7 linked regions of the Macaca mulatta genome follow. The protein of the gene in region 4 binds, or shares a complex with, the protein of the main gene of each other region. Links are inferred from orthologs where the notes say so. Each region holds a gene or a part of one and is shown on either strand. Other genes may lie near its edges.

The links.
Region 1: the proteins of guanine nucleotide-binding protein G(s) subunit alpha isoforms XLas (region 4) and HTR1A are in contact, whole or in part, in a cryo-EM structure (PDB 9GL2), measured with the Homo sapiens proteins. The link is inferred for Macaca mulatta from reciprocal best matches to the Homo sapiens genes GNAS and HTR1A. Residues at the interface, in NP_000507.1 of Homo sapiens: Ala39, Asp215, Lys216, Val217, Arg342, Arg347, Thr350, Ala351, Gly355, Tyr358, Phe376, Arg380, Asp381, Ile383, Gln384, Arg385, His387, Leu388, Arg389, Gln390, Tyr391, Glu392, Leu393, Leu394; in NP_000515.2 of Homo sapiens: Asn69, Ala71, Asp133, Arg134, Ala137, Ile138, Pro141, Ile142, Tyr144, Val145, Asn146, Arg148, Ile218, Ala222, Arg225, Ile226, Lys228, Thr229, Lys232, Val233, Asn325, Arg327, Asn328, Lys332, Arg339, Lys342, Thr343, Thr346, Leu347, Asn404.
Region 2: the proteins of guanine nucleotide-binding protein G(s) subunit alpha isoforms XLas (region 4) and GPR4 are in contact, whole or in part, in a cryo-EM structure (PDB 8Z9O), measured with the Homo sapiens proteins. The link is inferred for Macaca mulatta from reciprocal best matches to the Homo sapiens genes GNAS and GPR4. Residues at the interface, in NP_000507.1 of Homo sapiens: Gln31, Lys34, Gln35, Arg38, His41, Asp215, Lys216, Val217, Tyr358, Tyr360, Phe376, Arg380, Asp381, Ile383, Gln384, Arg385, His387, Leu388, Gln390, Tyr391, Glu392, Leu393, Leu394; in NP_005273.1 of Homo sapiens: Gln45, Arg49, Asn50, Leu52, Asp114, Arg115, Ala118, Val119, Ala120, His121, Pro122, Leu123, Arg124, Arg129, Arg130, Lys132, Tyr201, Ile204, Ala207, Val208, Gly210, Ser211, Val212, Ser213, Thr214, Glu218, Lys221, Ile222, Leu225, Asn290.
Region 3: the proteins of guanine nucleotide-binding protein G(s) subunit alpha isoforms XLas (region 4) and GPR52 are in contact, whole or in part, in a cryo-EM structure (PDB 8HMP), measured with the Homo sapiens proteins. The link is inferred for Macaca mulatta from reciprocal best matches to the Homo sapiens genes GNAS and GPR52. Residues at the interface, in NP_000507.1 of Homo sapiens: Lys34, Gln35, Arg38, Ala39, His41, Lys216, Val217, Phe219, Tyr318, Pro321, Arg342, Asp343, Leu346, Arg347, Thr350, Ala351, Tyr358, Cys359, Pro361, Phe376, Cys379, Arg380, Asp381, Ile383, Gln384, Arg385, His387, Leu388, Gln390, Tyr391; in NP_005675.3 of Homo sapiens: Tyr74, Arg139, Ala142, Ile143, Thr144, Pro146, Leu147, Asn150, Gln151, Thr154, Pro155, Ile226, Phe227, Ile229, Cys230, His233, Thr234, Glu236, Ile237, Arg240, Arg243, Phe244, Ser246, His247, Tyr263, Ala264, Met265, Phe268, Arg269.
Region 5: the proteins of guanine nucleotide-binding protein G(s) subunit alpha isoforms XLas (region 4) and HTR6 are in contact, whole or in part, in a cryo-EM structure (PDB 7YS6), measured with the Homo sapiens proteins. The link is inferred for Macaca mulatta from reciprocal best matches to the Homo sapiens genes GNAS and HTR6. Residues at the interface, in NP_000507.1 of Homo sapiens: Arg38, Ala39, His41, Asp215, Lys216, Val217, Phe219, Leu346, Thr350, Tyr358, Cys359, Phe376, Arg380, Asp381, Ile383, Gln384, Arg385, His387, Leu388, Arg389, Gln390, Tyr391, Glu392, Leu393, Leu394; in NP_000862.1 of Homo sapiens: Arg124, Leu127, Ile128, Pro131, Leu132, Arg133, Lys135, Leu136, Ile211, Gln218, Gln221, Val222, Leu225, Thr226, Lys265, Ala266, Thr269, Leu270, Phe323, Met324, Arg325, Asp326, Lys328.
Region 6: the proteins of guanine nucleotide-binding protein G(s) subunit alpha isoforms XLas (region 4) and GPR174 are in contact, whole or in part, in a cryo-EM structure (PDB 8IZB), measured with the Homo sapiens proteins. The link is inferred for Macaca mulatta from reciprocal best matches to the Homo sapiens genes GNAS and GPR174. Residues at the interface, in NP_000507.1 of Homo sapiens: Lys34, Gln35, Arg38, Ala39, His41, Val217, Phe219, Thr350, Asp354, Gly355, Tyr358, Cys359, Tyr360, Phe376, Cys379, Arg380, Asp381, Ile383, Gln384, Arg385, His387, Leu388, Arg389, Gln390, Tyr391, Glu392, Leu393, Leu394; in NP_115942.1 of Homo sapiens: Phe44, Tyr47, Arg53, Ala54, Val55, Ile56, Phe57, Met58, Ile112, Arg115, Arg116, Phe119, Leu120, Met121, Pro123, Phe124, Phe126, His127, Asp128, Cys129, Gln131, Ser211, Leu212, Asp214, Met218, Gln220, Asp221, Leu222, Glu224, Lys225.
Region 7: the proteins of guanine nucleotide-binding protein G(s) subunit alpha isoforms XLas (region 4) and CALCRL are in contact, whole or in part, in a cryo-EM structure (PDB 6UUN), measured with the Homo sapiens proteins. The link is inferred for Macaca mulatta from reciprocal best matches to the Homo sapiens genes GNAS and CALCRL. Residues at the interface, in NP_000507.1 of Homo sapiens: Gln35, Arg38, Ala39, His41, Val217, Phe219, Arg356, Tyr358, Phe376, Arg380, Asp381, Ile383, Gln384, Arg385, His387, Leu388, Arg389, Gln390, Tyr391, Glu392, Leu393, Leu394; in NP_001258680.1 of Homo sapiens: Arg173, His177, Tyr236, Leu237, Leu240, Ile241, Val242, Val245, Phe246, Ala247, Lys249, Ile312, Leu316, Lys319, Leu320, Val322, Thr323, Arg336, Ala337, Ile340, Leu341, Phe384, Asn388, Gly389, Glu390.

What each region holds. Positions count from the first base shown.
Region 1 is NC_133411.1:71,983,567-71,987,348, forward strand, and holds HTR1A (5-hydroxytryptamine receptor 1A), read right to left. Parts: upstream 2,377-3,782; 5' UTR 1,954-2,376; coding exon 688-1,953; 3' UTR 501-687; downstream 1-500. UniProt on the Homo sapiens protein: G-protein coupled receptor for 5-hydroxytryptamine (serotonin). Also functions as a receptor for various drugs and psychoactive substances.
Region 2 is NC_133424.1:58,136,292-58,140,254, forward strand, and holds the start of GPR4 (G-prodeshotein coupled receptor 4), read right to left. Parts: upstream 2,801-3,963; 5' UTR 2,652-2,800; intron 1,342-2,651; exon of another isoform or gene 1,087-1,341; intron 41-1,086; exon of another isoform or gene 1-40. UniProt on the Homo sapiens protein: Proton-sensing G-protein coupled receptor activated by extracellular pH, which is required to monitor pH changes and generate adaptive reactions. Activated by an optimal pH of 6.8-7.2.
Region 3 is NC_133406.1:31,926,044-31,930,222, reverse strand, and holds the start of GPR52 (G-protein coupled receptor 52), read right to left. Parts: upstream 2,801-4,179; 5' UTR 2,666-2,800; coding exon 1,580-2,665; 3' UTR 1-1,579.
Region 4 is NC_133415.1:111,699,117-111,702,335, reverse strand, and holds the end of guanine nucleotide-binding protein G(s) subunit alpha isoforms XLas, read right to left. Parts: exon of another isoform or gene 2,521-3,219; coding exon 2,466-2,520; exon of another isoform or gene 2,333-2,465; coding exon 2,259-2,332; exon of another isoform or gene 2,162-2,258; coding exon 2,103-2,161; exon of another isoform or gene 1,999-2,102; coding exon 1,878-1,998; exon of another isoform or gene 1,732-1,877; coding exon 1,601-1,731; exon of another isoform or gene 1,494-1,600; intron 1,346-1,493; coding exon 1,278-1,345; intron 1,008-1,277; coding exon 861-1,007; 3' UTR 501-860; downstream 1-500. UniProt on the Homo sapiens protein: Guanine nucleotide-binding proteins (G proteins) function as transducers in numerous signaling pathways controlled by G protein-coupled receptors (GPCRs).
Region 5 is NC_133406.1:221,312,803-221,317,036, forward strand, and holds the start of HTR6 (5-hydroxytryptamine receptor 6), read right to left. Parts: upstream 2,801-4,234; 5' UTR 1,918-2,800; coding exon 1,204-1,917; intron 1-1,203. UniProt on the Homo sapiens protein: G-protein coupled receptor for 5-hydroxytryptamine (serotonin), a biogenic hormone that functions as a neurotransmitter, a hormone and a mitogen. Also has a high affinity for tricyclic psychotropic drugs.
Region 6 is NC_133426.1:85,571,488-85,574,833, forward strand, and holds part of GPR174 (putative G-protein coupled receptor 174), read left to right. Parts: intron 1-1,302; 5' UTR 1,303-1,860; coding exon 1,861-2,862; 3' UTR 2,863-3,346. UniProt on the Homo sapiens protein: G-protein-coupled receptor of lysophosphatidylserine (LysoPS) that plays different roles in immune response. Plays a negative role in regulatory T-cell accumulation and homeostasis.
Region 7 is NC_133417.1:92,305,398-92,309,665, reverse strand, and holds the end of CALCRL (calcitonin gene-related peptide type 1 receptor), read left to right. Parts: intron 1-107; coding exon of another isoform or gene 108-110; exon of another isoform or gene 111-329; intron 330-677; coding exon 678-893; 3' UTR 894-3,768; downstream 3,769-4,268. UniProt on the Homo sapiens protein: G protein-coupled receptor which specificity is determined by its interaction with receptor-activity-modifying proteins (RAMPs). Together with RAMP1, form the receptor complex for calcitonin-gene-related peptides CALCA/CGRP1 and CALCB/CGRP2.

The sequences.
Region 1 (3,782 bases), on a different chromosome or scaffold from region 4:
GTTGTGCACTGCACGAGAGAGTTAATCTCAAGTCTGCGCGAAGACAGGGAATCCCAGGGGCACCGCTGGCACTGGGAAATCAGCCTCTTCCGCCTCTCTGGACCAGCAGATTCGTGCATAAGGATGGGCGAGGGCAGAGAGGGAAGCAATGAAAGAAAATAAAAGATAAAAATAGGGAGGAAAAGGTGAATATTTCAAGTGCCAGAGGGCGGGAGAGATGGAGCAAATTCCCGAACCTCAAGTCCAAGTTCTAGAAGTTGGGTGATAGGGTGGAGCTCCTTAGTGGGCGCGGCGGCTGTGTGTACAGTTTATTTATTTTTTAGTTTTTGGATTTTCTGCCTTGAACAACTAAGGATTAAACATCTACCGCAAAGATTTAGGGGGTAGAAGAGAGAAGAGGCAATTGCTGGGATCAAAACTGATGCTAAAGGCAAAGTCTGAGCCAATGTCGCTTCTCACAAACTGAATTTTCTGGGCTCTCACGCCCCGACGCTGGGTCTCCTTTGCACAAAGCGCCCTGCGCTGGAGCGGGAAGTGGGGAGGGGACCAGGTCCGCAAGCCGCGGGCGGAGCAGAGAGACAGAGAAGAAGTGGCAAATTATCTTAAGTGTTGATTCCCTAGGGTTGGGGGAAGCATAGTGAATGGGGCAGATCCTGTAGCCCCGACTGGCCGGCTACTCCTCCGTCATCACTGGCGGCAGAACTTACACTTAATGATCTTCTTAAACGCGTTTTGAAAGTCCTTGTTGAAGTATGCGTAAATGACCGGATTAAGCAGAGAGTTGGAGTAACCCAGCCAATTGATTATGGCGCCCAACAGCGTTGGCATGTGGCAGCTGCTCTCGCAGAAGGGCAGAACAAGAGCCACGATGAAGAAAGGAAGCCAGCAGAGGATGAAGGTGCCCATGATGATGCCCAGCGTCTTCACTGTCTTCCTCTCTCGGGCCAGGGCCATCTTGCGCTTGGCATCGGCGTTGCGCTCATTTTTCCTCTCGAAAGAGGCGGAGGCACAAGGGGTAGAACCAGCCTCGCTGGGCAGAGGCAAGTGCTCTTTGGAGTTGCCCACTCGGTGCACCTCGATCACCTCTAGGGCGGCGCCATCGTCGCCTTGCCTCACCGCGCCATTGGCGCACAGAGCACCCCCTGCCTTGCTCTCCACGCCCAGCCTCCAGTTCCTGCCCCCCGACTCTCCATTCACGCTCTTCTTGGGCTGCGGGGTGGGAGATGCTCCATGACGGGTGTCGGCTCCGGTCTTCTCCACCTTTTTGACCGTCTTGCGGATGCGGAAGCGCGCAGCTCGGAATATGCGCCCATAGAGAACCAGCATGAGCAGCAGCGGGATGTAGAAAGCTCCGAAAGTGGAGTAAATAGTGTAGCCGTGGTCCTTGCTAATGGTGCATGCGTCGGGGTCCGAGCGGTCTTCCGGGGTGCGCCAGCCCAGCATGGGCGGGATAGAGATGAGGAAGCCAATAAGCCAAGTGAGCGAGATGAGCGCAGCGGCGCGCCGGGGCGTCCTCTTGTTCACGTAGTCGATGGGGTCCGTGATGGCCCAGTACCTGTCCAGCGCGATGGCGCACAGGTGCAGGATGGACGAGGTGCAACACAGCACGTCCAGGGCGATGAACAGGTCGCAGGTGACCTGGCCCAGTGTCCACTTGTTGAGCACCTGATACAGCGCGGCCATGGGCAGCACTAACACCGACACCATGAGGTCGGTGACCGCCAAAGAGCCAATAAGATAATTGGCCACGTTCTGCAGGGAGCGCTCCAAGGCGATGGCAGCCACCACGCACGCATTGCCCAGCACCGCGCAGAAGATGAGCGTGCCCAGCAGCAGAGAGGTGATCACTTGGTAGCTGGTCACGTCGGAGATACCAGTAGTGTTGCCGCTGGTCTCAAAGGGACCCGGTGGTGATGTGGTGTTGTTGCCCTGACCAGGGCTGAGCACATCCATGCCTGCGCGCCGGTGCGGGAACGGGGAGGGAAGAAAAAGCAGCGCGAAGATCCGCCTCGCCCCTTCCCCTGTGGTCTTCCCCCCCCGCCCCCTTCTCCTGGGAAGTTTCGGAGGAAGGGAATGCAGGCACCCAAGCAGGAAGTTCTTACTGCTTCGGCGAAGGTATCTCTGAGGAGCAGCTTTCAGGCGCTCCCCCGGCTCGCGCAGTCCAGCGCGTTCAGAGGCACCAGCTGGGAAACTGGAGTTGGCCTGAAAGCAGCTCCAGGATCTCCGGGCGGCGGAGAGGTGGCTGGAACGTCTGTCTGTCGCTGTACATTTTACTTTGCCGCTCCCAAACTGGCTGCCGGAGGAGCTGGAGTCTCTCCTCTAGCAAACAGTCTCCAATCCCAGAAATATCTAGAACGGAGAAGCCCCATCCTCCACGGTCACTCTGTGACCCTCCTCTCCCTGTTTCCTTCCTTCCCTCTCTCCCCCTCTCTCCTCCTCTCTCTTCTCTCTTTCTCTTCTGCCTCTTTCGACCCCCTTCTCCCCACTTGCCTTCCCTTTCAGTCTCGCTCTTCCTCCTCACTTCCCTTTATTTATCCCTCTGTGAGTCGCTTCGAAAGCCAGGCTCCCTCCCTCCCATTCTAACCCTCCCCAACCCCAACCCCAACCCCGAGGAGTGCCTCTTTCCTCTGGGTCCCCGCCCTCCTCTCCCTCAAGCTCAGCGTCTTTGCTTTCCAGTCCCTTTTTGTCAACAGAGACTCAGAACTCACTTACACACACCGGATCCCTGTCGGTCAGACCAAGGTTATAACAGATAAACTCCTCCTCCAATCCAGTCAAACTGGGGAGGGGGTATTCGAGGGGAGGGAATTCCGACTACTCATTGCCTCATATTCTCTCTCAAATTCTTAAATCGTGTCAGCATCCCTGAGTGGCAATAGGAGATGAGTAAAGGAAGCACAGGGAGCCTGAATGGGAAGGTGAACAGTCCTGGGTCAGTCTCCCAATAATTGCTAATTGAAGGAAGAAGACGGAGTGTGTCTCGTTTTTAAAAAGTTACCTCCCTCCGTTCTCGCGCCACTGCACTCCAGCCTGGGCGACAGAGCGAGACTCTGTCTCAAAACAAACAAACAAACAAACAACAACAAAAACGCTACCTCCGTTATCATCTAACAGTCAGACCGGATTCCTTCGGGGAGGATATTGCCTGTGACATTTTTTTTTAACCTTGGGGAACTAGGAGAGAACGAAATTATAAAGGACGTGTCAAAGGACAAGGAGAGGTAAACAACTGCAACTCGAAATGAAGAACAAAACTCAATGTGATATATATTCTAAACACACACACACACTTTTCCATCACCACTACACTTGTAATTTCAGTGACACTGTCACTTTGTGGCTAGCAAATTCAGGGATGGAAATATTTTGCATATGTGTTTTAAGAGAAGCCTGGCATTTTATATGGCCGTTTGCACTTCCTACCAGAGCCTGCAAACCTCTGGGGGAAACTTGGTGGAATCCCTGTTCGCTAGCCGGCTAGCCTCTCCTATTCCAGAAACTGGGTTCAGCACCTGGGACAGCTCTAAGCAATAAGGGTTTATGTCGCCACCTTCTGGCAAATGTTTTAGAGTGCCGTCTAGAAACCCTTATGCAGAAATAAAGCAAGTATTGAGGAAGTACAACTTCTTCTAGAAAGAGGAAGACAGTTATTAAAAGAAAAGGTAGCATTGAGTTTTGTCTCCTTCCTATTTTCTTTAAAAATTGGTTTTAGTGCCCTCTTTTGCTCTGAATTGCTCTGAAACATATTATTATATGTTTTAGCTTCCTTCGAAAGCCTGAAG
Region 2 (3,963 bases), on a different chromosome or scaffold from region 4:
CTTCCCCCAGCAGCCCCAGGGGACCGGCCAGCTCCGGTCTGCTCATTAGGGACGAAATGTGATCACCGGTCCTCGCTCCCCACCTGGTGCCCTGGCGGCCGGCGGAAACCAGGGGGCAATCGGGCCACCCTAACCGCCCCACTGCACCTCAGTATCCCCGTTTCAACCTAGGGGGTCTCTGTGTCCCCCACGCCCACACTGCCCATTAGGGATACCAGTCCTTAGACTGCCTCTCTGACGTTCTAGGTCCCTACGGTTCTGCAATCTTCAGGTTCTATCCTTAGTTCACTTCGCAGTTGAATGTTCTATTATAACATTCTAGAGCATTACTCTTCTTTCATTCTATTTATTACATCGTGGCTTTGTAAGTACCTACCCTAAGTTTCCAATATTCTAGGAGTGTCACATTCCAAGATTCGAAAGTTCTATTGTTAGAACATGCTATGATTTTTTTAAGCATTCTATGACTTTCATAATCTATTATTAAACCGTCAGTGATTTTTATCTTTCCCCAGCAAACAGGAATACGTATTTCCCTTTTCTCTTTTACAGAAATGGGAACGTACACTAAATACAGTGAGCCCCACTTCCTTTTCTTTCCCCCCTTCTCTCGCCTGCTTTTGAACATTCCAGCAGCCTGATTTCTAAGATTGTGCAGAATTCTAAGAAACTATGGATTCACAGAGCGAAGAGAGGGGCATGTTAGTCACCACCTCCACCTGGTTCCTAAATTCTCACCACCTGGGGGTGACATGAGATATCCAGGCCTCCTCTCTACCCTTTCCCTAGTGGGCCTAGCCTCAGCCCTCCCCGCTCACACCAGCTGAGTTATTATTTGTCTAGACACAAACCAAATTATAGGCCCTGTCCCCGAGGGAACGGTGGGCTCCAGGCGGAGGGTCAGGAGACTGAAGCTGGAGTTAATCCCGGTTCCCCTCCACCTCCCTCCTTCTCTTCCCGAAACTCCACCCCTTCCACCCAAACCAACTCTTGCCCCTCTCCCTCCCCACCACCATGGTTTTGGAAATATTTTCTCTCCTCTGCTTCTAAAACCCTCTCTTCTGGATTCCAGCCATTTCTACTCACCCTGGCATCTCTCCCTCCTCATTGAGAAGACCTCTTTCCCCAAATTAATCCGGCTTAGTGGTAGAAGAAGCAGCCAGCTCTCTGGATTTGGGCTTCGGTTGAAAACTGGGGTCCCAGCCCTCCAGCCTGGCACTGACTCACTGTGGGGACTTCTGCTCTTGGGCCTCAGTTTCTCCATCTATAAAATGGGGTGGGGGGAGTTGGCCTAGGTGGCTCTGCAAACCCTTTCCAACTCTCAGCTGCCATCACTGAAATGTGCCAAGATTTCAACACTCCTCTTTTTGGATTGAAGGACTCCAGTATCCCCAGGACCTTTCATTGGAAGGATCTGGAATTTCCAGGCCTCCCCTCTGATCCTTCTTCCATCTAGGCCCTTCCATTAAAAGATATTCACGTTCAAGGTTCTTGATCATATGATTCCCAGGGTTCCGGGGGCCCCCATGGGTCTCTTATCCTCTTCAGCTGGGATTCCCCCAGAAAAGAAAACCTCCTCATCCTCACCCCAAACCTGAAGTCGAGTTCATCTACAGAGACAGATCTGGGGGCGGGTGCCCCCTTGGTGGGTTCAGGAGGAGGGGTGCTGATGATGGGCTCTGGAGGGGGCACTGGGGGGTGTGGCCCCATCTTCTCCACTTCTGCCCCAAATTCCCCAATGCACATCCAGCCCGAGTGCGCACACCCACATCCCACAACCGATGCCTCCCAGACATTCTAGGGCTGTTCCTCAGCCTAGTTTGGGAGGAGGGGTTGTCCAGTTCCCCGGGGGGAGAGTGAGGCGGAAGCAGGAAAGAGTTAACGGTGACCCAGCCAAATCCTGGAAGAGAGGAAGTAGGCGAGGAAGTTCACCCCCCAGCCAGGAATTCCTGAAATTGGCGGGCGGGGTGGGTGCGACTTCAGGGGCAGTGGGGTGGCTCCGGGAAGAGGGCGCTGGGGTCAGGGTGTCACTTTGAGTCCTCCTGCCCCAGGTCACAAGCCTCCTGCCCTCTACTCCCAAGCAGCTTCCCAGCCCAGAGGAAAGTTCCGGGATGCGGAGGATTTGGAAGGAGAGAAGACAGAGCAGAAGGTGCCAAAACAGGGTTATAAGAGACGGAGAGACAGAGACAGGGCAATAGAGAGAGACGGAGAGACATGGAGGGAGAGAGCAAAGAGATATACAGAGACAGGGAGAGATGGAGATAGAGGCAGACACATCCCCAGAGGTCCCACAACAGATGGGGGAGAGGCAGAGGCAGGGACAGAGGAAGGTGGGACCCAGAAACAGAGAGACAGAGACAGACGGAGACAGACGGAGACCGGAGAGGCAGAGATCAAGAAACTGACAGAGACATCCAGAGACACAGAAAGAAAGACAGGTCCAGAGGCAGAGGGACCACAGACACAGAGACACAGGCGGGAGTTGGAGACAGACGCAGAGCCAGGGAGAGCAACAGAGGGGGCGGGCGCCGAGACGCCGCGGGAGACTGAGGCAGCCCCAGAAGGGGCGGGGAGGAGCGGTCCCGCCAAGAGCAGGGCAACCTAGTGAGACCTCGCAGCATCGCGGGGGCCGGGGAGGGCCCGGCACTCACCTGCGCGCGGCGACTGGACGGGGCGGGCGGCGGCACCTCTCTCGGCTGCGTCCGGGTCTCCGGTCTGAATGACGGCGCGGGGACCCAGCGGATGCCCCCGCGGGGCAGAACAGCGGCTACTCCTCCCGGCCCCCGGGCCTGAGCCGTCAGCTGAGGCCCCGCCCCGGCCAGGCCCGCCCCCATTAACCCCACCACTGCCGCTGCCCCTTAACCCCTTTCAGACTTCACCCCATTCAACACCTCCAGCCCCGGGTGAGGCTCATCTGCTGCTGGAACACCCACTAGTCCTTCCAAGTCCCCAGCTGGAAGGTCCCCTCTCTCGAACCACACACCCCCAACTTTATCAGGCCCTCAGCTATGGGAAGAGGAGGCCCCCGCTACTGACCTTCCCTGAGTTGAGCCATTTCCTCCCGTAGAGACCCCAGGCCTCAGTCATTCATCTTCTGGCCGTTAACCTTCTGCATCTTCCGCCGGTAGGAGGGGGAGAACAAAGGGTTCTGTTAGGTCCCCAACTCCAAAGTCAGGGCCACCCCTAGAAGGAGCTCTGGGGTTGCACTTCCAGCCTGCCTCTTGGTCAGACCTTAGGCTAGTGACATCTCCGTGCCCCAGTTTCCTCTTTGAAACAAGGTGGTCACTCATGGTGCCTGCTTGCTTCCTTCCTTCTTTGCTTTGCTTTGCTTTGCTTTTTTCTTTCTTTTCTTTCTTTTGAGAGGGAGTCATGCTCTGTTGCCCAGACTGGAGTGCAGTGGCACAATCTTGTCTCACTGCAATCTCCACCTCCCAGGTTCAAGCAAGTCTCCTGCCTTGGCCTCCCAAGTAGCTGGGATTACAGGTGTGCACCACCATGCCCGGCTAATTTTTGTATTTTTAATAGAGATGGGGTTTCACCATGTTGGCCAGGCTGGTCTCGAACTCCTAAGCTCAAGCTATCTGCCCACCTCAGCCTCCAAAAAGTGTTGGGATTACAGGTGTGAGCCACCGTGCCCGACGTCTTTTTTTCTTTTGCCCAGTCTGGAATGCAATGGCACTATCATGGTTCCCTGAAGCCTCAACCTTCCAGGCTCAAGTGATCCTCCTACCTCAGCCTCCTGAGTTGCTGGGACCACAGGCATGCGCCACCACAGCTGGCCAATTTTTAAACAATTTTTTTCTACAGACAGGGGTCTCACTATGTCTAGGCTGGTCTCAAACTCCTGGGCTCAAGCCATCCTCCTGCTTTGGCCTCCCAAAGTGCTGGGATTATAAGACTGAGCCACCGAGGCCGGTCATCATGGTCCTTTTCTCTTGGGGGTTTCATTTCATTGTGTCAGTG
Region 3 (4,179 bases), on a different chromosome or scaffold from region 4:
AGGCAAGAAACTTATGGTAAAAAAGTTATATTTAGATGTTTTACTGCTCATACCTGCTTCACTAATTCCCCAAAATGCTACTTTGCTATATCTAAACCCCTGATAATTTATTACACAATCCCATGTAGCACGCAAAAAAATAAGTTAATCTCTGCATTTGAAAACAGATCATTACAAAAGAAAATACTGTCAGCTCTTACCTGTATTTGATAATTAAGTATATTATATTATCAGCAGCACTAAAAATGCAGCTTTGTCTAATATAAATATCTAAATAACAGTTACACAAAAGTATTTTTCTCTTAAAATAAGTTTTTATATATACTTTTTCCAATGTTGACAACTTAAACAACATTGATCTATATATTTTGCTAAGAAAACATTAGGCACAGATAACATAATTTACATTTTCTTTGCTGTAAAAAATATAATATGTGCAAACGCATATCACACAAATGACTGACTAGTGGACACAACAGTAAGCTATCGTAGACCTAACACAAAAAAGATTCATGTTTTATTTTATTTACTTATTTTTTAAAAGGGCATTCTAAGTACCCTTAAGAGTAATGCCTCACTGCTAGGTGAGTATCCTGCATTTGCATTAGAATTACTAGTGGGTTTCTTAAAGAAAAACAAAGCTTTACTATAGCAAAAAAAGACATCACTTTTAAGCAGATGAACTAATTTAAAAGGAACCAGATAAAAATGTTTCAAAAAGCCATTAAAAATATTTAATAAGCTACCAGATTGCTTTGCTGGAAGAAATACATTATTTAACATTATGGATGCTTTATACAGTAGATTCTTTCAATAGCTAAGACACTTCTAAAGTAAGGTAGCAATGGATGCAGATCAAGAAAAAGAGACAAAAAAAAAAAAAAAAAAAAAACAGGAGACTGTTAGGAAAAGGGGGAATAGCAAATGTCATTTCACCCAGAAGAAACAAAAATAGTGTTTCTATTTGTTTGTAGCAGAAAAATTGTGCTGCAGAGAAGATTCTAGAAACACAAGCAAAGGGGTTGTTTGGCAAGTAATAAAATGCAATGCTTACTGTGCATCCTCCATGAAGAGATCACTTATGGATTGTAGATTAGTGTGATTAAAGGTACACTTTGATGCAAAAATTATAATTTGCCACATATATAATATGTAGCATTTTTCTATAAAGGGTAATTTATGTAAGTAATAACTTCCACAAAGAGTGAGAGAAACAGACAAAGTGAGAAAGACAGAGGCATGGTACAGTCAGACAGAAAGACAGAAACGCCAAGCCAAGGAGCTTGCTCATGTCCTGCAGAAGATTTGAGATATTATTTTTCATCTCAGTGCTTAATTTTTCCTATTACTGCACACAAATACTCACATGCTGTAATTATTTCATGAGATAACCCTCTATACATCCTTCCCTTTAGTTTCTTCCATGAAAAAGAAAAAAAAAGAGAAACCTTTAGTCTCATACTTCATTTTATAGTCAACTATTCAAGTAAATATTTCTCTGATGGCAAATTTCCAGATGAATCTAGAATATGATCCAAAACCACTGTCAGATTACATTTGATTTACTATGTAGCTCTCTTCAAATGGAGCAAGAATTAGCCCGTTTCCTAGGTTTGGGGTCTTGTGCTTCCTGATCCTTGACACACATACAGGATGTGCACATTGTCTCAGACAGTCTTCGGAGGCCTAGCCGGAAAACGCTGTTGGAGAGGCTGTATATTACACAGTTACAAAAACTATTACTTATTGCAAGCCAGGTTGTTAAGAAGGACAGAGTTGGATTATCCAAGACCCGGGAGCTTTCTAGAAGAAAGTAAATTATATAGGGGAGCCACAGCATATAAAATACACTGGTTATCCTAAACAAAACCATGGCGTAGCGACGGTCAGGGCTGTGTCCAGTCTCTCTGGAAGAATCTACCTCATGGCTAGGGAATCGGGCTCTTCGGTCATTTATCTCTTTGGTGTGCTGACGGCAAATTTTGAAAATGTGGAAGTAAGTGAAGCAGACAACAAAGGCAGCAGGAGCATAAAGTAAACAAACAATAAAGCCAGTAAAATAGGCACTAGTGAGCCAAGAGGTGGCACACCATTCAAAAATGTCACCGTGGTAACCAGGTTTCCCCCAGCCAAAAAAGGAAGGCAAGAAAATTAGGCAGGAGTAGATCCAGATCAAAATAATGCAAATTCTCAGGCGACAAGGGGTGACCAGTTGATTGTAGGAAAGAGGCTTGGTTATTGCAAGATAACGATCCACACTGATGCAAGCAAGACATGCCATAGAAACACTTTTTAGAACTGAGATGATATATCCAAAAACCTGGCAAGTCAATGACTCGTGGACACCTGTGGAGTAGTGGAGAAGTGAGAGAGTAGGAACCAAGCAGCTAACTCCAACGAAAAGATCAGCATATGCCATCGTCTGAATGAAATAGCTGGTAGTATAATGATGTAACAGTGGAGCACAATGAAAGACAAAGATAACTGTTAGATTCCCAGCAATGATCAGAAATGTCAGCAACACAATAACCACTGTCTCGAAGATGCAGACATCCACCACACTGTAGTGGCCAAATCCAAGTGGGCAGGAGTGATGCTCGGACACATTCACAATGCCACTGCTCATGTTCAGGATCCTCCATTCAGTCCACCTGGATTCATTCATGGCTTGGAATGCAGACTTGGCCACTGCAAGCAGGTGCCCTGTCCAGCATCTGTTAAACACCGCACACGAGTGTTTCAGAACCTGCTTCAGTAGACAATGTCAGTGCTTCTGTCACAGCTGAGAGTCCCAGAGAGTGCTCAAGTCTCTTCATCAGCCTCAGTTCAGCAGTGACACACCTCAGCTTTCGGGCGGGGGGTGGGGGGGTGGGGGGTGGAGAGAAGGGAGAGAAGGGGGTAAGCTAGAAAGGAGGTGAAAAGAGGTCACTAATTAGTTTCCTTTGCCCTCAAAGAACTTTTTGCAGGCATAAGGTACTTCTAGAGAAAATAGACTTATTATCTTGCACTATGAAAAATTAAATCTGTAAAAAGAAAAAAAAATGAATTGCCAAAGGAAGAAAAGCTTCTGTGGGCTGTTCTCCAAGAGAGGCAGTTTCTTAGGGAGCAACTAGAAAGAATGAGAAAGGAAAACTCTTAAACCGTCTCAGGCTTCCTGCTTTATCTATGATGAAAAATGCATTTGTATTTTAGATTTTAAATAATTAAGACCTCAAATTTGGTTGAAAAGCTGAGAAAAAGTTCATTGTGGAAAAGAGTGTCTTTGGGCTTAGTTCAGGGATTGATGTTGGGGGGTCAAATTTATCATCTATTTCTCATTTTTCTAAAATCTAAGAAAAACAACTCTATCAAAGTTAATTTGAAGATTCATCTCTACATGGGCAGAACAGAGGTAACAGACTACAGATTGCCGTATAACTCTCATGAGAAAAAAGTATTTTCCAATAGAAAAGATAATATACAATGAATTAATGAATTAACACCTGGCAAAATATAATAAACTTCTGAAGTTTTAATTCTGCATGCATTTTTAAAGCATTTAGATGAAAGCAGTTTTAGTTCATTACAGTTACTGGTGGTACTAACAGCAATGTAACTTATACCTCTTCCTTTTCAAAATGAAATCATTTTTGATATTAATTTGGCATCTATAACTTAAAATAACATTTGTTATTTGATATACCACATTCCTTATAATGGAGCATGAAAATAAAATATGTAACTCACAGTTACTTTTCACCTTTGCAACTGTACACCCATATCTCACATATCTATATAAATGTAAAGTTAGACAATAATAAAACTTTTCAATACACTCTGAGCTTATTTGACCAGAAATGTTGCCATTATTTATTACTTAGGTATTTCTAATAGGCTTCATATTCTATTTTGCTATACCTTTTCTATTTTTGGTAGATGATTAACACATTAAATCATTACTTCAACTATATCTTCTGAAAGTGGAAAATTACCTTGTTTATTACATTTGCAGTTATGTAGCAGCCATATGTTAAAAAATGCCTCTTCTATTTCTGTATTCTATTTTGAGCAACTGCTCAATTAACACAGGGGCCATTAGGTAGGTTGCAAGTTAGTCTTATTTTAAAATACCTCTAAAGTATCAAGATGAGTTTAAATCCTAGAGTTTGAAATATTGCAAGGCTGGCAGGATAGAATCCA
Region 4 (3,219 bases):
TTCATTTTGGTGTGTGCAATGAGGTAGGGATCCAGTCTAAATTTTCCCCAAATGGCTACACCATTTCTTGAATAACCCCATTGATTTGAAACGCGGCGCTCCTGTATTTCTCCACATCATTTAGTCCCTATCTTATAGCAAAAAATACACTACTTTTCTTAGGAAGCCTGGGTCAGCAGGCAAACTGTGTGATGATGTAATGGCATAAGTTGGCAGAATCTTTGGATAGGATGGCAGTGATCAAAATGTAGAGGTGACTGGGGCATAGTGGTCCACTATGGGGTAAAAGTTTGGGAGATCAACAGGAGTGGACTTTTCCTATTGTCTGAAAATTATTTCAAGACACCTACATTTTACAGTCACCAGAAAACATACAGTGGTGAGATTTTATACCCACTTCACCTTGGGGCCTCCCAACTTTTGATGTAAGGGCCAAGTCAAACCATGAATGACAGGAATCTGCGCAGAACCACAAATAACTCACGGGAGTCCCATCATTCTTTGCTCACATTTAATTTTTATTTTGATTTTTTTTAATGCTGCACAACACAATATTTATTTCATTTGTTTCTTTTATTTCATTTTGTTTGTTTGCTGCTGTTGTTTTATTTATTTTTATTGAAAGTCAGAGGGAACTTCTGTGGCCTTTTCTCCTTTTTCTGTAGGCCGCCTTAAGCTTTCTAAATTTGGAACATCTAAGCAAGCTGAAGGGAAAAGGGGGTTTCGCAAAATCACTTGGGGGAAGGGAAAGGTTGCTTTGTTAATCATGCCCTATGGTGGGTGATTAACTGCTTGTACAATTACGTTTCACTTTTAATTAATTGTGCTTAAGGCTTTAATTAAATTTGGGGGTTCCCTTCTTAGAGCAGCTCGTACTGACGAAGGTGCATGCGCTGAATGATGTCACGGCAGTCGTTGAACACACGGCGGATGTTCTCAGTGTCCACAGCGCAGGTGAAGTGAGGGTAGCAGTAGTGACGCCCATCTCCACTGGCAGTGCTGATCCTCTGCGGGTACAAACGCAGGGACTCGTCAGTGACACCCTCGCCAGGAACCACCCTATCACTGATGGGGACACCTACCAGGGACGGCTGTTGGCCAGTCTCTGATGTCATATGAAAACGAAAGCAAAAGGAGGGGTGCAAAGAACTCAAATCCACACTGGATGTGCGTGAACTAAAACCATGGACCTGGGTAGCTGAACCCCTGAAGTAAATTTACATCCATGAGAAAAAGAGGAGGAGCAAGAGAGGAAACTAAAGACAGGCTCAACTCACCAGAAACTCATCTCGAATGAAGTACTTGGCCCGGGTCACGCGTGGGTCCTCTCCGGGCTCGGGAGTAGCTATAAAAAAAAGGGAATATATATTAATGTAATTAAAAAGTCAAGCAGAGCTGGGGTGCTAGCATCATTGTAGCTCCTGAAGTCTTCAAAACCCTGATTTTTCCATATGAGAATTAATGCAAGTGTGTTTTTCTTGCTTCTCTTACAGATGCTTTATGGTTTGGTGGTGGGAGGGGGATGGCGGCTTTCAGCCCTACTGTTTGAAAAAGAACCACTGCAATGAACAGCCAGCAAAAGAGTGGAAGCCATACACACCATCCTCAGGAGTAGTGTAGCGAGCAAATTCTGGAAAGTAGTCCTCAATCTTCGATTTCCCAGCAAGGACTTTCTCAGCGAGCAGATCTTGCTTGTTGAGGAACAGAATCACAGAGATGGTGCGCAGCCATCTACAAGAAGGGAGGCCGTGTGAATGCCCGGGAGAAGCGCGCTTTTGGCCAGGGGTCTGGAATGCTTGCACAGGGTTCTTTTCTACAAACAGTGCAGACCAGGGCCTCCTGGGCAAGCGCAGGGGGTGGGCGGTCACTCCACAAACCTGTTGTTCCAGATGCTCTTGAAGAGGTTCAGAGCCTCCTGCAGGCGGTTGGTCTGGTTGTCCTCCCGGATGACCATGTTGTAGCTGCTGCTGGCCACCACGAAGATGATGGCAGTCACATCTTAACCAAAGAAAGCAAAGCCAAGAGCGTGAGCAGCGACACTGATCCCTAACAACACAGAAGCAAAGCGTTCTTCACGAACAGCCAAGCCCACAGCGTCCTACCATTGAAGCACTGGATCCACTTGCGGCGTTCATCGCGCTGGCCACCCACGTCAAACATGCTGGTGGAGAGGAAGACAGCTGGTTATTCCAGAGGGGCTGGGGTAAATGTCAAGAAACCATGATCTCTGTTATATAAAAAGGTAACAGTGGGCTTACTGGAAGTTGACTTTGTCCACCTGGAACTTGGTCTCGAAGATTCCAGAAGTCAGGACGCGGCAGCGAAGCAGGTCCTAGAACAAAATTGAGGTCAATGGATCTCAGCAAAGCCAATCGAAATAGTAATAATTTCCAATCTAAAGCAAAAGTCTGGGGTAGTTTGGGAAGAGGGCTCAGGGTCCTCTGGTGGTGAAGGGTTTTGCACACCTGGTCGCTCGGCACATAGTCAGCCTGCTTGATCACATCGATCTTGTCCAGGAAGCTGGGAGAAAAAGAAAGGCACATGGGGTGTTCACAGCGTTCACATTAATTTGCCAACTATTTGTGTCTCTCTACAAGGTCAGGCTCAACGGAAGTGACCGTCCCACAGTTATGCAGCACTAAGTCAATGGCATATTTGCTTGTGTGTTGGTTACATTTATAACTCAAAGCTGATGCCTTAAGAAAGTTAGGCCAAATGGGATTTAAGATAAATAATTTTAGGAATCAGGGAACTCTAGATGCGTCTAGCAGCTAGCCTGCGGCCTCGGTGCAGTGGGGCCACACAAACAGCACAGGACAGTGGTGGGGCTTTGTTCTTCATGTTTATTTTTTTCTATTTTTCTTTTTTCTTCTTTACTTAGCTTGTTTATTCCTGTTGCTCTCTGGTAATATTCTTGATTTTTAAAAGGTTTTATGCATATCAACCAGTAGAGAAAGGACCCCAAAACCAGGCTGACCTATCACAATCTGTGCCATTTGGTAATGCTTGACAAAAACATTTCAATTTTCAAATTTCCTGCCTAAAATGGCAGTTTGAAAATTGTATACCTCTGTATCATTCAGTTAAAAAAATAAATAAATAAAGTGACATTCTTAAAAACATCAAGGACTTTCTCCTCAAGGGCACATGAGATTGTTTTAGTTACTGAGAATCTGTAGCCCTTCCTTTTCACTTTTTAAGAATCTCATTGATTAAAGG
Region 5 (4,234 bases), on a different chromosome or scaffold from region 4:
GGACCTACTATGCACAGTGGGGATCAAAACTGACCTGAATCAGGAGTTCAAGACCAGCCTGGCCAATATGGTGAAACCCCGTCTCTACTAAAAATACAAAAGTTAGCCTGGCGTGGTGGTGGGTGCCTGTAATCCCAGCTACTCAGGAGGCTGAGGCAGAAGAATAGCTTAAACCCGCAAGGTGGAGGTTTCAGTGAGCCAAGATCACACCACTGCACTCCAGCCTGGGCGACAGAGTGAAACTCCGTCTCAAAAAAAACAAACAGAAAAACAAAACAAAAAAACTGACCTTGATATGTGTGACCCTCCTGGAGCTTATATTCAAGTCAGGGAGGCAGAATGAACAAGTCATTCTTATGACTTGTTCTTATGGAGAATAACAGGGGAGGGTAGATGGGCCTGCAGATAGGGTAGTCAAAGATGTCCCCTGGGAAGAGGGCAGCCGGGGGAAGAACATTCCAGGCACAGGGAACAGCGAGTGCAAAGACCTGGGCACAGAAGTAAGCCCAGTGCCTTCTAGAAGCATGAGAAAGGCTACAAGGCTGTTGTAGAGTAAGAGAGAGGGAGAGTGGAGGTGACACTGGAGAGGTTGGCAGTGCCGGATCCTGAGGCCAGATCCTGAGACAGGTTTTCTTTATCTGGAGCACAATGGGGAGCCTGAAGTCTGAAGCAGGGGAGCGACATGATCACTTCTTTTTTAATTGCTCCGGCTTCTAGGCAGAAGATGGAGAGTAGTGGGTCTGCAGCAGAAGCAGTGGAGCCAGTAGAAGTCTACGCAGCCTCCCCAGTAAGAAGTGGCAGTGGAGATGGCACCTGTTTAGAGGCAGCACCAATAGGTCTCGCTAATGAATGGCATGAGGGTTAAGGAGAAAAGTATTTCTAAGTTCCTGGCATGTGATGCCGAAATGGTGCCATTTGCCATGATGGGGAAGACCAGGGAAGCAAAGATGGGGAGAGTTGGGCCACCATAAATTCCCTGTTGTACATAGTGCCTGGGAGAAGCCTGCCGCCTATCCTGACGGAGCTATCCTGTGCTGGGTGGGTCAGGCATTGGGTCTGGAGTTCAGAAGAAAGGTGGGTGCTCACAACTGCCACGCAGGGCCATGAGCAAATGTGTGCTAAGTGGGGATGCCCAGGGGGTTCCCAGGGGCTGCTCATTCCTCTGCATCCCACAGCCCAGGTCTTCCTGCATACCCCGGGTACCTGCAGTGTTTCCGAGGCCTGGCTGGCCATGCCGGTGGTGAGGGAGGCCACCTGCACGGCTTGCTTTCGGGCAGCCAGCAGGATCCTGCAGTAGGTGAAGCATATGGCACCGGAGGGCAGGAAGAAGGTGAGGCCCGACGCCACGAGGACGAAGGGCAGGCTGGCCAGCAGGCGGCACTGGCCCGGGACTGGGGGCCGTGCGTGGCCCAGCTCGTGCCAGCCCAGCAGCAGGGGCAGGAAGGAGGCAAGCGCGGCGAGGCTCCAGGCGCCCAGGACTAGCGCCAGGGCACGCGGGGGCGTCATGCGCAGCTTGTAGCGCAGCGGCGAGAGGATGAGCAGGTAGCGGTCCAGGCTGATGAGGCAGAGGTTGAGGATGGAGGCGCTGCAGCACATTACGTCGAAGGCGGTCCAGAGCAGGCAGAGGCCGCGCGCCAGCACCCAGCGCCCGTATAGCGCGTTCAGCATGGCCGGCGGCATCACCACCAGCCCCACCATCAGGTCGGACGTGAAGAGCGACACCAGGAAGAAGTTGGACGTGTTGCGCAGCGCGGGCTGAGTGCAGATGAGCACGATCAGCAGCGAGTTGGCCGCCACCGTCAGCGCGATGACCACGCACAGCGCGGCCGCCACCCAGCCGCTGCCCCCCGGGGCCGACGGCGGCCCCGCCCCCCAGGCCGGGGTGCTATTGGCGGTGGGGCCCGGCTCTGGGACCATGGGGACCGGGGGTGGAGGGTAAGGGCGTGATAGGGTGGTGGGAAGGCAGGTGAGGGCCCCGGCGAAGCGCAGGCTGGACGGGCACCGTCGGCGAGAGCAGACAGCGACTCACCACGCCCCCCGGGGGAGGCGAGTGGGGAGACATGGGCGGGGGCACTGGGTCGCGCTAGGTCAGGGGGCAGCGACCACAAGAGGACGCAGAGTGGCTATTTGGGCGCCCTCGGGAACGGGGCAAGGACACCTGGAGCAAACGGGTTGGAAGTTTGGGGAGGGGCACCCGATGAGCCGAGGCCCCTAAAGGAAGCGGCGGGAAGTCAAGCAGATGTCGGATGGGCGCCCCGGGGTGGGAGCAGAGAGTCCTGGAGGGGGCGGGCGGCAAGATAGGGTAGGGGCGTCCGGCCGGGGCAGAGCTCGGGGAAGTGGGAGCGCGAGGAGGTGGGCGCGGGGGGTGAATGGGCGCTCTCGGGCCGGAGCAGACTCCCCGCGGCCGGTGGGCGTGTGGGGTGCCAGCGTGGGGTCTGCAGGGCGGGGGCCTAGGGGCCGGAGCAAAGCCCCCCGGGGAAAGGCAGGTCTCAGCTGGCGCGGAGGCACCGGGATCGGGCTCACACTGCGCGGGGGTTCGCCGGGACCTCCAGGCCCCGCGGGAAGCGGAGGGCAGCGGCCGCGCGGCGCCCCCTCCCCACCCGGCCGCAGGGTCGCCTCCGCCTCCCGCCCGCACTGGTACCTGGGGCGCTCTGGCTTCTCCGCCGCCTGCGACTGCGGCAAGCGCCGCGGGGCTGCGAGAGGAAGAGGCGGCCGCGGGCCGGGCGGGCGGCGGGCCCGGGTCTCCCGAACCCGGGAGGCGCCGCGAGGGGCCCTCACGCGCGGAGGAGCGGCTGGGTGCAGCCCGGAGCGCGCGGTCTCCGCGCCGCGGAGCGTGCGTCCCGCCTCCCGGTGGGCGGGGAGAGCCGAGCCCTGGCCCTGCAGGCGGGCGGGGTCCCAGCACCCCGGGCCTGTGGGCCGAAGATCCGAGCGCCCCAGCTGCGCGGGGTCACCTTCCGGGCTGCGGCAGCCCCCGCACTCCCAGATGCCCCTCCCAACCCACACGGGGCGGCGGCGCAGGCGGAACTCGGAGAAGGGGGCTGTGACCTGCCTTTATCCAGGGACTGCTCCCTAATGGGTGCCTGCCCACTCACAAGGGGGTCACCAGGCTTTCAGGGGAACCAGGAGTTGGGAAATATTGGACAAATCGCCTGACACCTCTCTGGGCCTCAGTTACCATAGCTGTAAAATGGGTTAGTAATTCTGGGCATTCTTCATCGTTAGTTTGATCAAGAAGCTAACCTTTCCCTGCAGAAACCATCCCTATCGCCAAAGGGGCCGGGTACTAAGGATGAAGTCCCTGAGCTGTTGGCGCTCCTAGTTTAACAGAGCGTGAACAGATTTGAGAATCCCCAGGCCAGGTGGGTTAGAGTCTCTGCAGGCAGAGGCCTGGGGTGTTGTTTCCCCTGGTTGTGACCTCCCTCTGTATCTCTCCCCTCTGGCTGAGAAGAGTCTGCCTAACACTGCTGTGCAGGTTAATACTGTGGACTCTATTCATCCATTCGTTGAACAGATATTTAAGGCGCATCCACTAGAAGTCAGGCACTGTTCTGACCCATCAGGACCCTACAGTGGCCAAAACAAAGATCCGCACCTCCATGGAGCTTACATTCTAGTGGAAGGAGACAGACGATAAACAATAGGCATAATCAACATAGAAAGTGGGCCGGGCGCGGTGGCTCAGGCTTGTAATCTCAGCAGTTTGGGAGGCTGAGGCGGGCGGATCACCTGAGGTCAGGAGTTCGAGACCAGCCTGACCAACAGGGTGAAACCCCGTCTCTATCAAAAATATAAAAATTAGCTGGGCGTGGTGGCGGGCACCTGTAATCCCAGCTATTCAGGAGGCTGAGGCAGGAGAATCGCTTGAACCCGGGAGGCAGAGGTTCCAGTGAGCCAAGACTGTGCCACTGTCCTCCAGCCTGAGTGACATAGCAAGACTCTGTCAAAAAAAAAAAAAAGAGAGAGAGAGAAGGAAAGAAGGAAGAAAGGAAGGAAAGAAAGAAAAGAAAAAGAAGAAGAAAAAGTAGTATAAAGAGAACAGGGTGGGATCATTTTTTCTCCACAGAAACAGAAAAATAATACTTCCCACATCGAAGGCTCCTGCGATGTCCCCAGGGGCTTTCCTACTCCTCCAGTCATTTATTCCCATCCCCACAATAATGCTGAGAGGTTCAGAGAGGCCAAGGGCCTTGCCCCAGATCACCAGCAGCAAGTGGTGAAGTGGAACTGAAACTCA
Region 6 (3,346 bases), on a different chromosome or scaffold from region 4:
ATCAGAATTAGGAGGAAATTGTTCTGTTCTCTTCTGTCCAGAACTTGTGATTACTCATGTGTCATAATGGTACAATTTCCTCTGATATACGTGCACAGAGCTATTCAGTTTCACATCATTTGCAGTCACTTGCAGCACACTAGGTCTGCTTTTTCTGGGCTTAATAAAGTGTGCACCTAACCAGACTGTAATATAAAGTTGAATTTTGAGCAAGTGGTTGCTTGTTACCTGTGATGGGATGGTTTCTGGACAGGGCTTCACAACCTAAAATGTAAACAAAATGTGCTGTTTCACTTACCATGAAATTGAAGTAAAATAACAATAATAATTTGTTCGGGGGCTCAATGAAGCACACTTCAAACCACATGGATTTGATCATTCAAAGCAGGATGTTTCATAATTCCCATTTCATTTTTGTTCTTCCCACACATATCTTTAAAGTTAGTTAAGTCCTCCTAGATTTCAGTAGCCTTGAGGCAACTATCCAGTCACCTAAGCTAAACTTTATTTACCTCAGAACAAGGGTCATAGACCCAACTGAGTCAACTTTCTATGGATTTTGATTCTCTGTTCTGGGGCTATATCTGCTGTCTCAGATAATTAAGAGGTGAATAAATGACTCCAGTAAATGGGATTATTTAAAGAGAAGCTGGTTGTCCACTTATTTTTAGACATATAGGAATGATTTTGATCAAATGATGGTTCAAGGACAAATGCTGGGCTCGCTATATCAAAACCAAATGGAGAGCTTTGAAAAGATACAAATGGCATACTGTACCCCACGAGTACTCAATCAGAATCTCTGGAGGAAACACCCAGAAGCTTTTATTTTATTTTTTAACCTTCCCCAGATGATTCAGATAATCAGTAAGATTAGTAAAGCAGTAATCCAAATCATAGTTTCTCAAATGTTAACACGCAGAAGAATCATCTGAGTTCATTGTTAAAACACAGATCTTGAGGCATCAGGTCCAGGGTGACGCTTGAGATTTTGAATTTGTAACAAGCTCCCAAGTGTCATTCGTTCATGTATTTTGATTTATATTACTAATATAAATTAATTTATATTTATATAAATTATATATATATATATTTATATAAAACAAGGGGCTAGATTACTTCTCATGTTCTTTCAAGCTATATTTTTCTGTGATTATAAAGTGCCTTGTAGAAACTGCACCATATACCCTTCCCTTACATAAGAATTTTTCATTCAAACTAGAGTATTTTTCTGAACATAGGCTTTTCTTTTTTTTCAAAGCTGGGCCAGGAAATAATTGACTTATTTTATTTTGCTTGCAGCTCTGCCTTTGTTTCCTACTTTTTAGATTTTGACATATAGCTGAAAAAGTCCCAGAAAGCTGATCTTTCCAAGTTAATCATCCCTGAAGAGTGGCGGATTCATTGTGCACTAAAGCAATCCTTTCTTCTATGTGAGCCAAAAAAAGAAAAACGGCCTGCCAGACACCTGTAAAGAGAAGGCTATCATCATATAGGAATTTGAGGAACTGCTATATGGTACATTCCTTTTCCAAATGGGAGAGAATCAGCTCTCATGATGTCCCAGAGGGCCTTAAAATAAACAAGAGGGAAATTGTAACAGCTTGTCATCTGTGCTTGTACACTAGACTTTCATGTAGTTACTCTAGAGAAATCTAAATAAAAAATGCAGATAGTTCTTTGAAAAATCCTTGAATAATATGTAGAGACTCAGGCTGATGTGGTAAAAAAAAAGGAAGGTTATTTTATACTTGGTATCTCCAACCCACTGGCAAGCAATCTTTTGGAAGGAACAGCAGTTGATTGTGAGTTTAGGTTTTGAACCACCATTAGGCAAAGATAGTTTCTCTAGAGAGAATCATGCCTGCTAATTACACATGTACCGGGCCAGATGGAGACAATACAGATCTTCGTTACTTTATTTATGCAGTGACATACACTGTCATTCTTGTGCCAGGTCTCATAGGGAATATATTAGCCCTGTGGGTATTCTATGGTTATATGAAAGAAACAAAACGAGCTGTGATATTTATGATAAACTTAGCCATTGCTGACTTACTACAAGTTCTTTCCTTGCCACTGAGGATCTTTTACTACTTGAATCATGACTGGCCATTTGGGCCTGGTCTCTGCATGTTCTGTTTCTACCTGAAGTATGTCAACATGTATGCAAGCATCTACTTCTTGGTCTGCATCAGTGTGCGACGATTTTGGTTTCTCATGTATCCCTTTCGCTTCCATGACTGCAAACAGAAATATGACCTGTACATCAGCATTGCTGGCTGGCTGATCATCTGCCTTGCTTGTTTACTCTTCCCACTCCTCAGAACCAGTGATGATACCCCTGGCAATAGGACCAAATGCTTTGTGGATCTTCCTACCAGGAATGTCAACCTGGCCCAGTCCGTTGTTATGATGACCATTGGCGAGTTGATTGGGTTTGTAACTCCGCTTCTGATTGTCCTGTATTGTACCTGGAAGACGGTTTTATCACTGCAAGATAAATATCCCATGGCCCAAGATCTTGGAGAGAAACAGAAAGCCTTGAAGATGATTCTAACCTGTGCGGGGGTATTCCTAATTTGCTTTGCACCTTATCATTTCAGTTTTCCTTTAGATTTCCTGGTGAAGTCCAATGAAATTAAAAGCTGCCTAGCCAGAAGGGTGATTCTAATATTTCATTCTGTGGCATTGTGTCTTGCTAGTCTGAATTCGTGTCTTGACCCAGTCATATACTACTTTTCCACTAATGAGTTCCGAAGACGGCTTTCAAGACAAGATTTGCATGACAGCATCCAACTCCATGCAAAATCCTTTGTGAGTAACCATACAGCTTCCACTGTGACAACTGAATTATGCTAAAAGAAAAACCAAGCTGAATATGACCTGAAATGCAAGTACCTCAGAACATATCTGAAATACCCAAGCCACGGGGAAGAACTCACAAAAAAACACAGCTTTTCAGTTCTGCTCTATTTTACTGCTGTGGGGAATTCACTTCTTCAAAGCAGGACCTATGTGGAGCATTATGATCCACCATTATTGATGTTGACATATCCATGTAGTAATTTTTCATCAAGTCTGTAAATCTTAAAATATCAAATTTCTGTGACATCCTACAAACATATGCTCTCAACTCTAGTCAGTACTTTTACCTGTGACCCTCAGGCACAAAAAGAGTATTAGCTTGGAGTCACCATAAGCATTCAGTTTTGTTACAGCAGATACTGAGTCTTTATATTCAGAGGAGATGTAGGTGTCTTTTTATATTAGTAATCACAGTTTACATGCCTTTTTCGTATGTTTGGTTATATTTTAGTGGGATGGATGATATATTACCCTGTGT
Region 7 (4,268 bases), on a different chromosome or scaffold from region 4:
AGGATTCAAATATGTAAAAGTGGAGTGGTTACATTCCTAAATTTATTTTTCACAATATTCACCAGATGTATAATTATTTGTTCAACACTTTTCTTTCCTCTATGTAGTAAGCTCCATGAGGACAAATATCATGCTCCCTTTTTTGGAATGTAGCGCAATTTCTGGCATATGGGAATCACTCAAAAACAAACGTTGCTGCTATTGCCCTGCTGCTGCTGATGATGATGATTTGTATTCTTCGTATCCTAACTTCTTTTCTTTTGTATATCTTTCTCTAATCCTGTTACGATTTGTCTTCTCATTCTATTAATAAAGACATTAATATAAAACTTGATGTTGTACATGAAATCTTGTAAATGGGGGTCCAGATTACCTATTTGTTTGGCAACAACGAATACATACGCATTATAAAAGCTTTGAAGACAAAACATGGCATGAAAAATATCAATGGAATGTAAAGTACGATGTAATTGTAATACATTTCCTAATGTAAAGATGGTACACTTAACTTAATTTTTTAAATTAAGTAAGAAAATGAAGCTATATTATTCACTAATTAACATAACTTGTTTTAAAAAAGCTCTTCTCCAAGACCTATTTAATTGTGCTTCAAAAACAATGTCTTCATTTCAATTAATGGGTTGCTCTTGTTCTTTCTGTTTCTTTTTGATTGATAGGTTCAAGCAATTCTGAGAAGAAACTGGAATCAATACAAAATCCAATTTGGAAACAGCTTTTCCAACTCAGAAGCTCTTCGTAGTGCGTCTTACACAGTGTCAACAATCAGTGACGGTCCAGGTTATAGTCATGACTGTCCTAGTGAACACTTAAATGGGAAAAGCATCCATGATATTGAAAATGTTGTCTTAAAACCAGAAAATTTATATAATTGAAAATAGAAGGATGGTTGTCTGACTGTTTTGTGCCACTCCTAACTCAAGGACTTGGATCCATGACTCTAAAGCCAGAAGACTTCAATATTAAATGGCTTTTTGAATATCATAAAGAAAAGCCTCACATGAAATTGGTAGTGTGTTGATAAGAGTGTAATATCTAGCTGTAAGTGGGAAAAAAGAAATCCTGGTTTGTAATATTTGCCAGTAAATACTCCCACTATGCCTGATGTGACACTACTAACCTGACATCACCAAGTGTGGAATTGGAGAAAAGCACAATCAACTTTTCTGAGCTGGTGTAAGCCAGCTCCAGCACACCATTGCATGAATTCACAAACAAATGACTGTAAAAGTAAATATACATGTTGGGCATGATTCTACCCTTATTGCCCCAAGAGACCTAGTGAAGGCCTATAGACATGAAGGGAAAATTAGCTTTTAGTTTTAAAACTCTTTATCCCATCTTGATTGGGGCAGTTGACATTTTATTTTGCCCAGAGAGTGCTGTAGTCCTTTTTGTAATGACCCTCTCAAATGGACAATACCAGAAGTGAATTATCCCTGCTGGCTTTCTTTTCTCTATGAAAAGCAACTGAGTATAATTGTTACGATCTACTCATTTGCTGACACATCAGTTATATCTTGTGGCATATCCATTGTCGAAATTTGATGAACAGGATGTATAATATGCAATCCTACTTCTATATCATTAAGAAAACATCTTAGTTGATGCTACAGAACACCTTGTCAACTTCTTCCTGTTTTACCACACAGTGGGAGGGAATTCGTACCTGTAAATATACATTTTGTCCCTTCCATTTCTACTGTAGAAACAAATTAGCAATCATTTTATATAAGGAAAATCAATGAAGGATTTCTTATTTTCTTGGAATTTTGTAAAAAGAAATTGTGAGAAATGAGCGTGTAAATACTCCATTATTTTATTTTACAGTCTCAAATCAAATACATACAACCTAGGTAATTTTTAAAGCAAATATATAATGCAACAATGTGTGCATGTTAATATCTGATACTGTATCTGGGCTGATTTTTTAAATAAAATAGAGTCTGGAATTCTATATTTGGTGACTATTTTAAAGACAACCAGATGCCAGCATCAGAAGTCTGAGAACTAAGAGAACAGAAACATCTATCATAAGATATATTTATTTTAAAAACACAAGGTCACTATTTTATTGAATATATTTGTTTTGATGACTCATACCTTAATAATAGGTGTGTTTGACATATTTCTTTTTTCGTTTTGACAATGAACTCACATTCTAATCCAGAAATTTTAAACAACTACTGTGATAAATACCAATCTGCTACTTGTATAGATTTTACCCCATTAAAATATTACTTTACTGACTTTCACTATATGAAGATACATAGCTTTGGAAATGTCCCAGGTTATTCAAGAAATATAAAAAAATAGAGGGACACAATATATATCATATACAATGCTTTAATATTTTAATAGAGCTACTGTATATAATACAAATCAGGGAAATACTTGAATATATCATTGAGAAAAAATTATTGTCAGATCTTATTGAATTATTGTCAGACCTTATTAAATAAAGATAGAAGAAAACCTTGCTAATGAACTAAAGTGAAATTTATATGGGATTCAGTTTCTCTAATGTTATTTTCCACTGAAATCTCTGAAGAACAAGAATGACTTCAATTAGTAAAAGTCAATTTTGGGAAAATCATGTGTATCTCTATTTTAAGTGTGTCAATCTGCTTAAAATGGATGAAACTAATGAATTACTCATCATAAGTTGTTTCTTAAGCTGTCAATAGATGGTGAGTTCAGAACTTATTTGAAATTGCTAAGAAAAATTATCTAAATGAGTAAGAATTAACATATAGAATGGTCTGGTCAGTACATTCATAATTTATGCATGAAAAAGTATTGTTTTGTTTCAAACATGAATTTCATAGCGAGCTGCCATAGAAAGGAATGCAGGCTGTTCTGGACCTTTAACTGCCTACATTATACAAAAATTCATTTCAATAAACTCAATTATTAGCTATTTATTATTCAAAGACCCATATTTAAATCCTTTGCTGACCATGTTGACATATATCAGCCTTCTTCTAGACAAACTGTCAAGTCAACCATCTTGACAGTAGACATTAAAAAATGTTGAATTATCAGAGATTATATTAAAATGAACATGTAATTTTCAAGTATTTTTGTTGTGCTTTCATAATATCAATTCTAGATCAGATTTATTTTATAGCCAGGGTTTATCTGTTGTAAAGTCTTGAGGAGTAGCAGTCATTCATGTTTAATCACTGTTAGTTTTATATTCATATATTTTTAGAATAATTTTAAATGTTAGATTCCTCAAAAGCTGAATGCTACTTAATACCTTTGTACCATACTCATAAAGCAAAGTAAATCTGACACTTTTTTAAAGCAAACTTCTTTGCTGTCAAAAAATAAATTTGGGGAATTTCTAGCTTTTAAAATGTAGATTTGTCATTTTACTGTGATTACTTGTGAAAGTCATATTTTAATTTTCTAAATTGTAATTTGTCATTTTCTTTCCTAAAGTTAATTTCCAATGCATTTATTCATAAAATATTCATTCTTGAATGCAGTGTTTGTTTAAATGTAATCCAATGTACATAGAATTAGTGGTGGCTGTAGTGCTGTATTTATTGCTTATAAATTTTTTAAAATGTGAACTTACTTTTAATTTTCTCTTGATTTTAATCTGCTAGTAGAAACCACTAGTTATCTGTAAAAATATATTCAAGATATTCTGATCAATTGTAACAATTTATGTTATGCCTACTTAGAGTATATCTCTATTTTTGATTGTATGAAAATATTAAAGTTATGAGTTAAAGTTTATTTCCATTGATATTTACTAGAGTGCCAAATAATCTAATTTATAAACATAATTCTTACATTAATCAATGGGATACTTTTCAAAATTAACAAATCTCTTAACAAAATATCTCTTTTGCCTTCCTTAAAGTCTTCAGTAAACCAGTAAATGAATTCAATAAACCAATTAAGAAAAAGTCATGATTTGTTTTCCAAACTAAAAAAATCCAAATATACTACGATGGATGCAAACTCCTTCTTATGCTGAAAGAAGAAAAAGGATGTCTCAAAATAAGAAAATGTTCAGAAATTCATCTCTTTTATCTACTATATTTCATTTTGTAGTTTTGTTTAAATATTAGAAAGAAAAATAAGTATTTAAAGGTAATTTTTAAAGAGGGCATATTTATGGCTCTCACACAAATATAAAATGAAAATGTTTCAAAGATTTTGTTTAACTCATTAATTAATGAAGGAACAAGTAAGATGTTACAACAATTCAAAGGAGAATTCAAAATATCACA